Macaca fascicularis: one gene and its partner. The protein of the gene in region 2 interacts with the protein of the main gene of each other region in a pairwise test. Links are inferred from orthologs where the notes say so. Each region holds a gene or a part of one and is shown on either strand. Other genes may lie near its edges.

Region 1 (6,186 bases), on a different chromosome or scaffold from region 2:
CTATCTTTACTTCCTCTCCCTCCCATTTTCTTTTGAACCATTTACGAGGTTTTTACTTTTATCACACCCAAACTGTAAAAAGTCTCTAGACAACCTTTAAGAAACAGTTCCTGCCACCCAGGCTGAGGTGCAGTGGCATGATTACAGCTCACTGCAGCCTCAACCTCCTGGGCTCCAGTGATCCTCCCACCTCAGCCCCCCAGTTAACTGGTATCACAGGTATGCACCACCACGCCCGGTTGGTCAATTCTTTCTTACCCTACCACAGAAGCATTTTACACAGTTGACTCCTCCCTTTCTGGAAACATTTCCTTCACCTGGCCCCTAAGATGCCACAGTGTCCTTGTCTAGGCTCACTGGCCACTGTTTCTCAATAGCCTTTCTTTACTGGCTTATTCTTTTCTAGGGTGTCCAGGACTCAATCTTCATGCTCTAGGAGTCTGCATCAAATCTCATGGCTCTCATCACCTGTGCAGCACTAACCCCAGATTTCTATCTCTAACTGCATCTTTGCCTGGGACTCCAGACACCTACTATGCAACTGTCTTATCTCCACTTGACTTGCACATCTAAAGGGATTTCAAACTTAGTGTGTCCATGACACCTATTTTTCTCTCCAAAACTGGCTGGATTCTGTTCTTCCACATCTCAGTAAAAGTCACTATCCAACCATTCAGAATTCTTCTTTCTCTTGTATGTCCAGCAAACAAGTCTTGTTGGTTCTATCTTCAAAACATCTGGGCTAGGCACAGTGGCTCACACCTGTAATTCCAGCACTCTGGAAGGCTAAGGGCAGATCACTTGAGGTCATGAGTTCAAGACCAGCCTGGGCAACATGGTGAAACCCTGTCTACAAAAAAAAAAAAAAAAAATTAGCCAGGCATGGTGGGACATGCCTGTAGTCTCAGCTACTCAGGAGGCTGAGGCAGGATAATCACTTGAGCCCAGGAGATGGAGGTTGCAGGGAGCCCAGATTGTGCCACGGCATTCCAGCCTGGGTGACAGAGCAAAACTCCATCTCAAAAATATAACTATATATACCACAATTCCAGGCAGTTTTCAATACATAGCCCATACTATTTTAACACCTACGTCTCCTGCCTGGGTCACTCCCTCCCTGTTTCCACTTTTGCCTGTCTTCACTCCCCCACACCCTATAATACACACAGACTATTCTTCATATAGCAGCAAAACGAATCCTTCAAAATGTAAATCATTATTTCACTATTCTGTTCAAAACCCTCCAATTCTTAATCCTGAAAAAAATGGAGAATGAAATAAGATAAACAAAACTGAGACTGTCAGTGCCGGGTGAGAGGAGGAGGACTACACAGGTCTTCAGGGTGCTCTCCGCTCTACTTTTGGTACACTTGAAATTCTCCGTAATAAATTTTTTAAAAAATCGCCAGTGGCTTTTCATCGTATTCAAGATGAAGTCCAAATTTCTTGCCACAGCCAAGAAAGGTTGTATGCAATCATCTGAGACTCCCTGCTTGGCTCTGACCTCTCCCACCCTTACCACACTGCTGCTGCCTCCTCTTCCACACACAAGCATGCCCAGGCCTTTGACAGCAGTTGCCCCTTTACCTCCAACATGCTTTCTCTCTATGGCGTACTCCCTGAGCTCTTAGGTCAGTCTGTGCTCAAAAGTCACCCCTTGCAGAGGCAGGGCCATCCTATATAAAATGGTCCTCGGTTCCCTATGCTCTTCCCCCCTTATTCCACTTCCTTGTTCTCCTCAGCATTTATCAGAACCAAAAAGCGTTCATCGTGTCCATCCATCTCTTGTATCAAAATGAAGCTCCGGGAAAACACACACCACATCTCATTCGGCACTGTGTTACCAGAGCCTATGGAAGCACCATGCCACGTGCCCTGTCACTTTTAAGTTCAGGAGTGAATGTGACATCACTGCAGGTATCACAGCCTGTATACCACATGGCAAGAAAAACTTTTTGGAGTATGCATTCAATAATGTTATTTAACAAGGAGAAATCTATACCCACACTGAATATTACAGCTTAGAACACATGCTCCTAATAAAATATTATCAAAAGAAAGAACTTACTGGTGTGAGCTGTTGAGAATTTAACAACTGCTGAAACTGCTGTTGATGAATAAGTAATTGTCTTTGCTGGTCAGAAAGTAATCCTAGTCCTGAGGCACTGAAAAATGATTACAATTCTTACTTTTTACTACACACCTCTAACGCATTTTTAGAAGTTTAAACATGAAAGACAACTTTTCAATTTGATGTTTAATAACTTAAGTACAATTTTTAATCCAAACACTTTGAAAACAATTATGTACAAATTATGTGTGTGTGTGTATATATATATATGTATGTGTACAGCTAAACAAGAATTCACATTGTCAAGAAATCTTTTTATTATAAAACAAATAGGCCCTACCTTATTTTATGGAATAGAAATTTACATGTGTTTCTAACAGGCATATGTAATAATTTATCTTTAATTATTCAAAGATAATTTAACTCACACTAAGTAAACACATATTTGAAACAAAGAATCCAAACATACTACTGATTTGACTTATCCTTTTCTAATGGTCCCAATGGTAAAACTAAACACCAATGAAGAGAGCTAGAGGAAACAGCTTTCTAGTACCCACTGCAAATCCATTTAAAAGTATTTATTCCCCCAAAAGTATGTTTAATAACAACATAGTATGTTTAATAACAACATAGCTTTAGTCCCCTAGTTTTGAACAAGCATTCAAATGTAGTTCCAGTACAGTGAAACCAATGAGTCTCACTTCCTGGGAATTCAGATAAATAAATGACCTTTATCCTATACCAAAATCTTTGATTAGAATATTAAAAATATTACATACATTTTAAGAAACTAATATTCATGTTATCTCCACTATATTACCTTTCTTCAGAATTTGATACAGGAATTCAATATACAAATAAGAAAAACTATTATTTAAAAATAGACATCACAGATTAAGACTAATTTTCAGCACAAAACATATTTAATGCTGTCACTATAAGTGAATTCATTTAAATCTAAGTTTCAAAAATAAATGTACTCTGTGTATAATATACTTAAAATTTTTGGCAGACTTCTTAAGGTATATCTACAAAGAAACACATTGAAAGCCCCAATCTAAGGCATAGACAACACTGGTACTCCGTTAGTTACACTAAAAAACCCAAAACATACTTAAGTTTCTTACCTGTTAGTCAGTGTAGCTGGCATTGGATGTGTTGCATTAGGTGGTACAGTTGTGTGAGTGAGAGGGGTAGGGTTCTGGGACATTGTGACAGGAGTCTGCATAACCCCATTTAAAGCTCCTACAATGCCATTAATTGCCAGTTGGTTACCTGGCAAAGCTCCAATTATTCCACCCACTGCAGACACGGCAGGAATGGTGGAAGTTACAGGCTGCATTCCACTAGCTAGTGCCCCCACTGTCACACCATTGACCTGCTGAACTCCACTCACTCCTGAGCCTTGTTGAGCCGGACTCTGCCCAGCAGGAGGTGGGGTAGAAAGAGCTGATGAGCTGCTGGTGCTTTGTCCACTGGAGGTTAAGTCCTAGCGTAAGAAGAGAAACTAAATTGAAAGAACACAGCAAAACTGTTTAAAATAATTTAAAACCATTTGACATAATATACTATTATTTACAAGTAAATCACACAGATGAAAATAACCACACAAAAATTACCTGATTTAATACAGGAAGAGAATTATCAGGTAAAAAGCTGTTTCCTATATGAGGGCTCTTACTGCTGTTCAAGGAATCAGTAGTAGGAGCTAGAATAATAAAAGACAAAAAGAAACCTATTTACCCTATTAAATTACATTATGTGTAAGATTAAAGGCTTATTTAAAAGCTTATGCTGAAGCCCATATCAAAACCACTTAAATATCAAGTCTTGCTATTCCTAACTGACTTAAACAGGAAAAAAAATCTATATTGAATACCATCACTTTAAATCAATAATGAGATCATTAGACATTTAAGTAAATGTTACCATTATATTATGGACTAAGGAAGTTAGAGTAAATTCAAGTTGATCACTTAACAGGATTCTTTATGCCCTTGAAAAACGACCTATCATTCCTTTTCTACATCTTCATATAACTGGTGACCAATTATTACTCACTTATAATACAAATAACATTGAAAGCCTATTTTCTTTACATACAAAATAAATATTTTCACACTTACCAGTCTGTGCTGAAAATGTGTGTATTTGATGAGACGGACTAGGATTTGCTGTTATTGTTGGAAAAGGCACTGAAAGCTGTGCATTCAATAACTGAAGCCGTTCCTTTTTGGCAGTCAAGTTTTTAATTTGTTCCTCTAATCTTCGGTTTTCAACTTGAAGTTGGTGTAATGACTTCAGCATTCCTAAAACTAGCACACATTTGGATAGTTTTTAATAACAAGTACACACATGAGACTAAGTATTTTACACAGTGCCAGTAACCTTAGAAATAAGTTACAATAGAACAGTAGAAATTCTGTAAAGTGTTTCTAAATGATTAAGTTTTGTTCCTAAATTTGTATGTGGGATTACATTTCCTATCTATGTATTTTTATAAGCACAAAGGCAAAGTGTTCCTGGATGTACCTTCTGGAAACTTTGTTGCCACATACCAAAACACACACACCAGCATCAGGTAATTTTCCATTCTCAGTGAAAAGTGATGACATTTTATTTTTGTCAAAATAAAAGCCTATTAAAAATTCAAGAGCCTGTCACTATTTTTCATTGAAGTCATATATAGAATGGTTAAGGATCGCACCAATACCCTTTACCAAAATAACAAGCACATGTTTTTGTTTGTTGTTCCATTTAAACGAAGTGCTGCCATCAGACTTCCTGGCAGGAAGCCCCTAATCCCAGCTGCTCAGCATGTTGCTCTGCAGGTCACCCAGCAGGGAGCGCTATGTGTGCGCCCAGCCACGTCTCCAGTCCTGGAGAAAGGCGCATCCCCTGTGAACAGGCTGGCTTTTGGTCTGGCCCCCATCACCTCAGGTACTTCAATTCCTTCCACAACTCGGACCTCCCAACTAACAACACAGAGTGTTACTGTTAAGATTTTTGAAGTGTCCATCACATACTAAAAAGTTGTATTTGTTTAACATGACCTCAGGGCCTTCAGAAGATACAACTCCTCTGGTACAGACACATCTGGCCATTTCCCAAGGATTTAGCTTTTATCCCTTCCCTCCAAGATCCCACAAAGAGATCTTAGTGGGCCCAAATGAGATGCAATAAGACTAAGCTAAACCTATCCTCCAGCTATCGTGTTTAAAGGATTAGCCCGGCATGAAATTTCCTCACAATTACCATTTTTTGTCAGGTTACCATTCACAAAATACCAATTTATGGCACTTAGCCAACAATAAGCAAAATGTTTCAATAAAATGAAGCAGCAAAAGTTTATACTCCAAAATGACGAAAATCACCTATTTTTCCCTAAAATTAAGACAAGGCCACATCTCCAGCTAACCACCACCTATTTTAACTCTGCATTTTACACCCATGGCCCTAATACTTAAAATGGTGAAGATACTGAAATATAGATATATAGTACATGCTCTATAATCCAACAGATGATAAGCATAATATATATTAATTATAGATTTAATTAAGTAATTATTAGTCTTCCTCCAAATTATGAAGAAGCTAGCCGGCCATACTTGACTATATGTTTTTTTTGTTTGTTTTTTTCTAGAGACGGAGTCTCGCTCTGTCGCCCAGGCTGGAGTGCAGTGGCGCGATCTCGGCATCCCCTGGGTTCACGCCATTCTCCTGCCTCAGCCTCCCGTGTAGCTGGGACTACAGGCGCCCGCCACCATGCCCGGCTAATTTTTTTTTGTATTTTTAGTAGAGACGGGGTTTCACCGTGTTAGCCAGGATGGTCTCGATCTCCTGACGTGATCCACCCATCTCGGCCTCCCAAAGTGCTAGGATCACAGACGTGAGCCACTGCGCCCGGCCGACTATATGTATTTTTTAAAGTAAGTTTTCCAGAGGTGAGCAACGTTTTCTTCAAACAATTAGGCTAAGAGAAGACAGTGCTCATATATTTTAGTAAACTGGTAAGAACAAAGTACAGTGGAGACACAAAGTACCGATATGTATAATCATGGTAAGCACCGAGACAATGCTATATATGAGCCAGGCAGTGGTCCTAATATTTT
Region 2 (6,186 bases):
CTTATCCTTCTTCTCCTCTAGAATGCAATCTCATTGCAGGTAGGGGCTTTGTCTTACCACTGCGCTCCCAGCATCTAGAAAAATGCATGACATATAATAGGTGCTCGATGTGCTATAAAACACTGCTGTACTGTTCTTGGCAGGGATTTCTAGATCTCATTTTTCCCTATTCGAGTTTTATATTTTAGGTGTTATTAAACCTGTGCTTTTATGGTAAGGTGCATTAAATGCTTTTTAGAAACAAACATTGTAAGCCAGGCACAGTGGCTCACACCTGTAATCTCAGCACTTTGGGAGGCCGAGGTGGGTGGATCACCCGAGGTCAGGACTTTGAGACTGGCCTGACCAACACAGTGAAACCCCATCTCCACTAAAAATACAAAATTAGCTGGGTGTGGTGGAGGGTGCCTGTAATCCCAGCTACTTGGGAGGCCGAGGCAGGAAAATCGCTTGAACCCAGGAGGTGGAGGTTGCAATGAGCTGAGATCGCACCATTGTACTCTAGCCTGGGCAAAAAAAAGCAAAACTCCATCTCAAGAAAAAAAAAAAAGGAAAAGAAACATTGTAAAAAATAAAATACAATTAAAGACAGACCACTTCAGAAAGATCAGCTCTAAGATCTCACCGATTTCTCTGACCACCTGCTGCTGCTCACAATTCTGTGCTTTTTTTTTTTGAGACAGAGTCTTGCTCTGTCGCCCAGGCTGGAGTGCAGTGGCGCAATCTTGGCTCATTGCAAGCTCCGCCTCCCAGGTTCACGCCATTCTCCTGCCTCAGCCTCCCGAGCAGCTGGGACTACAAACTCCCGCCACCACGGCCGGCTAATGTTTTGTATTTTTAGTAGAGACGGGGTTTCACCGTGTTAGCCAGGATGGTCTCGATCTCCTGACCTAGTGATCCGTCCACCTCAGCCTCCCAAAGTGCTGGAATTATAGGCGTGAGCCACTGCGCCCTACCAATTCCGTGCTTTCTTGTAATGAAATTGCAGTGATCTAGTACACAGCAGCTTTTAGGTTAGCCTGTGAAAATTCATGCTATTGGTTCCAGACTAAAAAGATATCTATTAAGCAAATACTACTGCCATACAGTTGGCACATCTCATGCTGTGTCAGAGTAGGCTCCATGTCCTGTTGACTCCCCAAGTCCCTGAACGAAAATTCTTAACGGGCTATTAAAAAAAAATGTGCACCACCTGTGGTGTCACCTCAACTGAGGCTTTTCACTATTCTGATGAGTCTTCAACTAAAGGATTTTCAGATCTGCATAATTCTAATCAGTAATATAAAACTAAAACTGTTAGTCCTCAGATGTAATTGGGAAATCTTCGAATACACAAGTGGCTAGTCTGAAAAACTGACCATGAGGGCTCCTGGTGACTGCTAATAATCTACTGCCTGCCCTTTGTCCTCAGCAGTAAACCTGGCACATACTGGTGCAATCAGTAACACCTTATGACCATATAGCACCTGCACATACTTTATCTGATATCATCTCGTAACAAGGCAAAGACAAGTTGAATTATCTACTCAAGGGCTACTGAGCACATGAAATGTGGTTAATGTGACCAAGAAACTTAATTTTATATTTTATTTCATTTTAATATACATTTAAATAGCCACATGGGCTGGTGATAATATACTGAGTAGCACAGACATACAGAGCTCACTGTACTAGTTGCCCACACAGCATTCTGAAAGATAAAATCCCATATTTTAAAAAGGGTGGGATGACAGCTTCAATATAGGGTGGAAAAAAAAAAAGCATGGGGGGATGAGAGTAGCCGAAATATGAACTGCGAGCTGCAAAATCTAAACAAATCTCAATTGAGAGCTTTAGGATTCTATTGTAAGGTTCTATCTAGTGGCTACTAGATGGTTTTTCTGCTTATCTGGATTTAAAAAAACGCACTGGCGATGGCAATGTGAGTATTCTGTATGTGCAAATCATCAATTACTCCGAATGATGCTTTTGAAAATGGCAGCTCCTGAAGCATGTAACAGAATGGGCATGTCTACCCAAGCTGGTCTTACATGAGTCTGAAAGGCAACTTAATGATTCTCTGTACATTCTATGTAGAAAGGCCTCAGGTCTCTCAGGACATGGAAAGTGGCAAAAGGAAGAAATAAAACTGTATTTAAATATGATCCCCAAATCTGTATGTGACAAAGAGATGTGCACAAACACACACAAGCACACAATAGAAAAAAAAACTCAAAATGTTAATGGTGGATGCCTGTAAGTGGTAAGATAACATGATTTTTATTTTCTTTTTTTTTTCTGTGTTTTTAAAATTTTCTACCTAAACGTACTGCTATAATCACAAAATCTATTGCTATCATCAAAAAATAAATTTTCCCTAAAAACCTTTAACTTTTAAAAATCTCATCTTAAATGTAGCCATCATTTCACTGTTTCCTATGTATGAGTGGCCTAGGAAAACAATTCCTTCTTCTGTTTCACATAGCACTAGACTTCACCAACTTTTAAACTAAAATTACTCTTTAAACCTTAGCAACCGCCTTCAGCAACAAACCCCCTTAAGCTGATCATCTAACACATGGCCTCAAAAAGAAAAGACATTACAAACCTTTCGGTGATGGAAAAGTGTTCTCCGTTCCTTTGCCAACGGGGGTAGCTGGCAAAGAGAGTGAAGCTTGGACGGCGGAGTCCATCTTTTCACAGTCCAGAGTTGGAGAGCTAGGAGCCGACTTTCTAGTTACTTCCTGTTGTCTTTCCCGAACTGCTAGTTCTTGCCTTAAATCTGTAAAATATTCCAAACAAGGGCAGGAATATTCACTAGAGGGAGCAAATATATCAAGAAAAGTGACATCTAAAATGTCATAAAGATCTTCTTCCTAAATTACTATTTCTCAAAAACGAATTTCCTATTTAATTATTAACAACTTTATTTCTAGGGGGAATAAAAATGGCAAAACTACTGTCTAAATGATCTTTTAGAATTTAAAAATGTTACAATCTGAGAGAAATTACTTATGCTCGTATGCAAAAAGTAACAGTGCAGAGTCCACAGTACAATTCACACAAAAGTAAATATTCTTCCCAACTCATTTGCTTTTATTTTCAAATGCTGTAGTTTTGGGGTTATTGCAAAATCAACTAAGTGCATTTTTGTAATTTTAAATGAGTTGGCATTAACTATTATTACTATGAAATATTTAGTTTTAGAAAAGTATTCGGAGTGGTTTAAATATTTGTCATTCTTCTTGCTCTGTCGCCCAGGCTACAGTGCAGTGACACAATCTCGGCTCACTGCAACCTCCACCTCCTGGGTTGAAGAGATTCTCCTGCCTCAGCCTCCCAAGTAACTGGGATTACAGGGGCACACCACCACACCTGGCTAATTTTTTTTCTATTTTTAGTAGAGACAGGGTTTCACTATGTTGGTCAGGCTGGTCTCGAACTCCTAACCTCAAATGATCTGCCAGCCTCAGTCTCCCAAAGTTCTGGGATTACAGGCGTGAGCCATCACACCCAGCCAATATCAAGTTTTTAACCCAAAATTAATGTTATCTTTTCCGATTATGCAATTTAACCTACAGAATATTTGCTTATGTTAAAAAAGGAACAAAGTCATCCCCCTTTTGGGCATGTATCCAAAAGAATTCAAAACAGGATCTCAAAGAGGTATTTGCACACCCATGTTCCCAGCGGCATCATTTGCAATAGCAAGAGATGGGAGCAACTCGATGTCCACCCACAGATGAACAGATAAAGAAAATGAATACATACAATGGAATATTATTCAGCCTTAAAGAAGGAAATTTTGTCACATACTACACATGGATTAACCTTGAGGACATTATGCTAAGTAAAATAAACCAGTCACAAATACAGTATAATTTCCCTTACATGAGGTATCATAGAAAGTAGAACTGTGGTTGCCAGGGGCTGAAGGGAAGGGAAAATGGGTAGTCGCTATTCAAAAGGTATAGTTTCAGTTTTGCAAGATGAAAAACTTCTAAAAATTTGTTTACACAACAATTTGACTATACTTAACACTACTGGAGTGTACACTTTAAAATGGTTAAGAAGCCAGGCACAGTGGCTCACACCTATAATCCCAACATTTTGGGAGACAGAACCAGAAGGATCACTTAAGGCCAAGGATTCAAGACCAGCCTGACCAACATACTGAGACCATCTCCACAAAAAAAAATTTTTTTACTTAGCCAGATGGAGCCAGGCGTGGTGGCTCACGTCTGTAATCCCAGCACTTTGGGAGGCCAAGGTGGCCAGATCACGAGGTCAGGAGTTCGAGACCAGCCTGACCAACATGGTGAAACCCCATCTCTACTAAAAATACAAAAATCAGCTGGGTGTGGTGGTGGGCACTTGTAATCCTAGCTACTCAAGAGGCTGAGGTAGGAGAATCATTTGAACCTGGGAGGCGGAGTTTGCAGTGAGCCAAGAATGCACCATTGCACTCCAGCCTGGGCGAAAGTGTGAGACTATGCCTCAAAAAAAAGTTGACTCTAAGCTTCTTCTGGCATAGGGACAGTAAGGTAAGGGAGGACAAACACAGTTGTCCCTCAGTATACATGGGGATTGGTTCCAGGACCCCCACCTACACCAAAATTGGCGCATACTGAAGTCCCACAGTCGGCCCGTATATACGAAAAGCCCGCCCTCCATATACAGGGTTTTGAAGGGCATGAATACTGTATTTTCAATCCGTGTTTGGTTGAAAAAAATCAGAGTATAAGTGGACACATACAATTCAAACCCATATTGTTCAAGGGTCAATTGTATTCTTTAAGTCATAAATTTTACCTCTTGCTTCATCCTTTAACCTCTGTACAGAGACCAACAAAGATTCCTTTTCATCAAGTTCACTTTCTAAAAATGCATTTCGTTCAATGGCCTGATTTAGCCTTTGTTCAAAGTCTTCCAGTGAAACTATTGTTGCCCTAAAAAGAAAAATTAGAGTACATGAATTAAATAAATAACATGTGCAAACAGATAGTACAAAAGGAAACTGTCAGTTTATCTCATGACATTTCCTGACCTAGCCGGCCTGGTCCCATTCAAAGAAGATGATCCTGCCCCTTCTTGACCACTGCTGGCACTTAGTGTCTCTACCATTTGGGTAATCTATGCAATATATTCTCTTAAATTCCCACCTATTCCTTAATGTTCCCTACGGAAAGGCTGTTTGTTACACTATTTATATCTCCACTGGGTTTTGAACACAATACAATTAAGTTTATACATTTTCAGAAAGAAAACTTTTCAAAACTTGTAATATATGTAAGAGTTTGTTTAAAACATTAAGTCCCAAGTCAGGGAACCTAAGGCCTATTCACGCTGACTTCCTAGAACTAAATCAAAAGGAAAACTCCAACTTTCCACACCTAAGTCACGAAAGGACCAGAGGCCATTCCCTTTCCTTGCTGCAACCACTCAGACATTTGCACAGGGTGTCCCTTTGTAACTTCAACTTCACTTCAGCCGCTGACTGGTTGCCCTCCGCAACCAATCTGGCTGCTGCCTCCTTTATGCCCTGGAGCAGCCTGCCCACTTTTTTTTACCTAGGGTATTATCATAGTGAATGTACATATCTGTCACCCCCAAAGGTAGTGACCAGACTAGCTCCGCATCTGCAAGTTTAGCACCATGTCAGTCACTTAAGACTTACTGGATAAATATTAAGGAAGGAAATATCAGGAAACAATTATAAAGTAATAGGAATTAAGTTTGGAATGGTTAAGAAACAACTAATTACAGATGCATAAAAGTTTGGCAACAGAGACAGCAAGCCACTGTAGGTTGCTCAGAAAATGTGAACTGAAATCAACGTTTGAAGAAAACCCATCAGTCAGTATTAAAACAAAAGAGAATAAAAAGGAATAGAAATATAAAGACATATCAGCTAGAAGATAACTATAGAATCCAGGTATAAGATGTGAGGACCTACAGGAAGTGTTAAGAGCACAGAGGGAAGATGGGGGAATGCATGAGACAGTTCAAAAAGAAAAAAAAAAAAAAAAAAAAAAAAACCTAGGCTGGGCGCAGTGGCTCACGCCTATAATCCTAGCACTTTGGGAGACCGAGGCGGGCAGATCACTTGATGCCAGGAATTCAAGACCAGCCTGGCCAACATGGCAAAACTGCATCTCTACTAAAAATACAAAAATGTGCTGGGTGTGGTGGTGGCACATGCCTATA

The links. The genes of interacting proteins can lie anywhere in the genome.
Region 1: the proteins of NDEL1 (region 2) and protein AF-10 interact in a two-hybrid assay, tested with the Homo sapiens proteins (2 studies listed by BioGRID and IntAct). The link is inferred for Macaca fascicularis from reciprocal best matches to the Homo sapiens genes NDEL1 and MLLT10.

What each region holds. Positions count from the first base shown.
Region 1 is NC_088383.1:22,545,618-22,551,803, reverse strand, and holds part of protein AF-10, read right to left. Parts: intron 4,390-6,186; coding exon 4,201-4,389; intron 3,783-4,200; coding exon 3,694-3,782; intron 3,564-3,693; coding exon 3,202-3,563; intron 2,166-3,201; coding exon 2,069-2,165; intron 851-2,068; exon of another isoform or gene 763-850; intron 1-762. UniProt on the Homo sapiens protein: Probably involved in transcriptional regulation. In vitro or as fusion protein with KMT2A/MLL1 has transactivation activity. Binds to cruciform DNA.
Region 2 is NC_088390.1:8,521,653-8,527,838, reverse strand, and holds part of NDEL1 (nuclear distribution protein nudE-like 1), read right to left. Parts: intron 4,929-6,186; coding exon 4,792-4,928; intron 2,762-4,791; coding exon 2,588-2,761; intron 1-2,587. UniProt on the Homo sapiens protein: Required for organization of the cellular microtubule array and microtubule anchoring at the centrosome. May regulate microtubule organization at least in part by targeting the microtubule severing protein KATNA1 to the centrosome.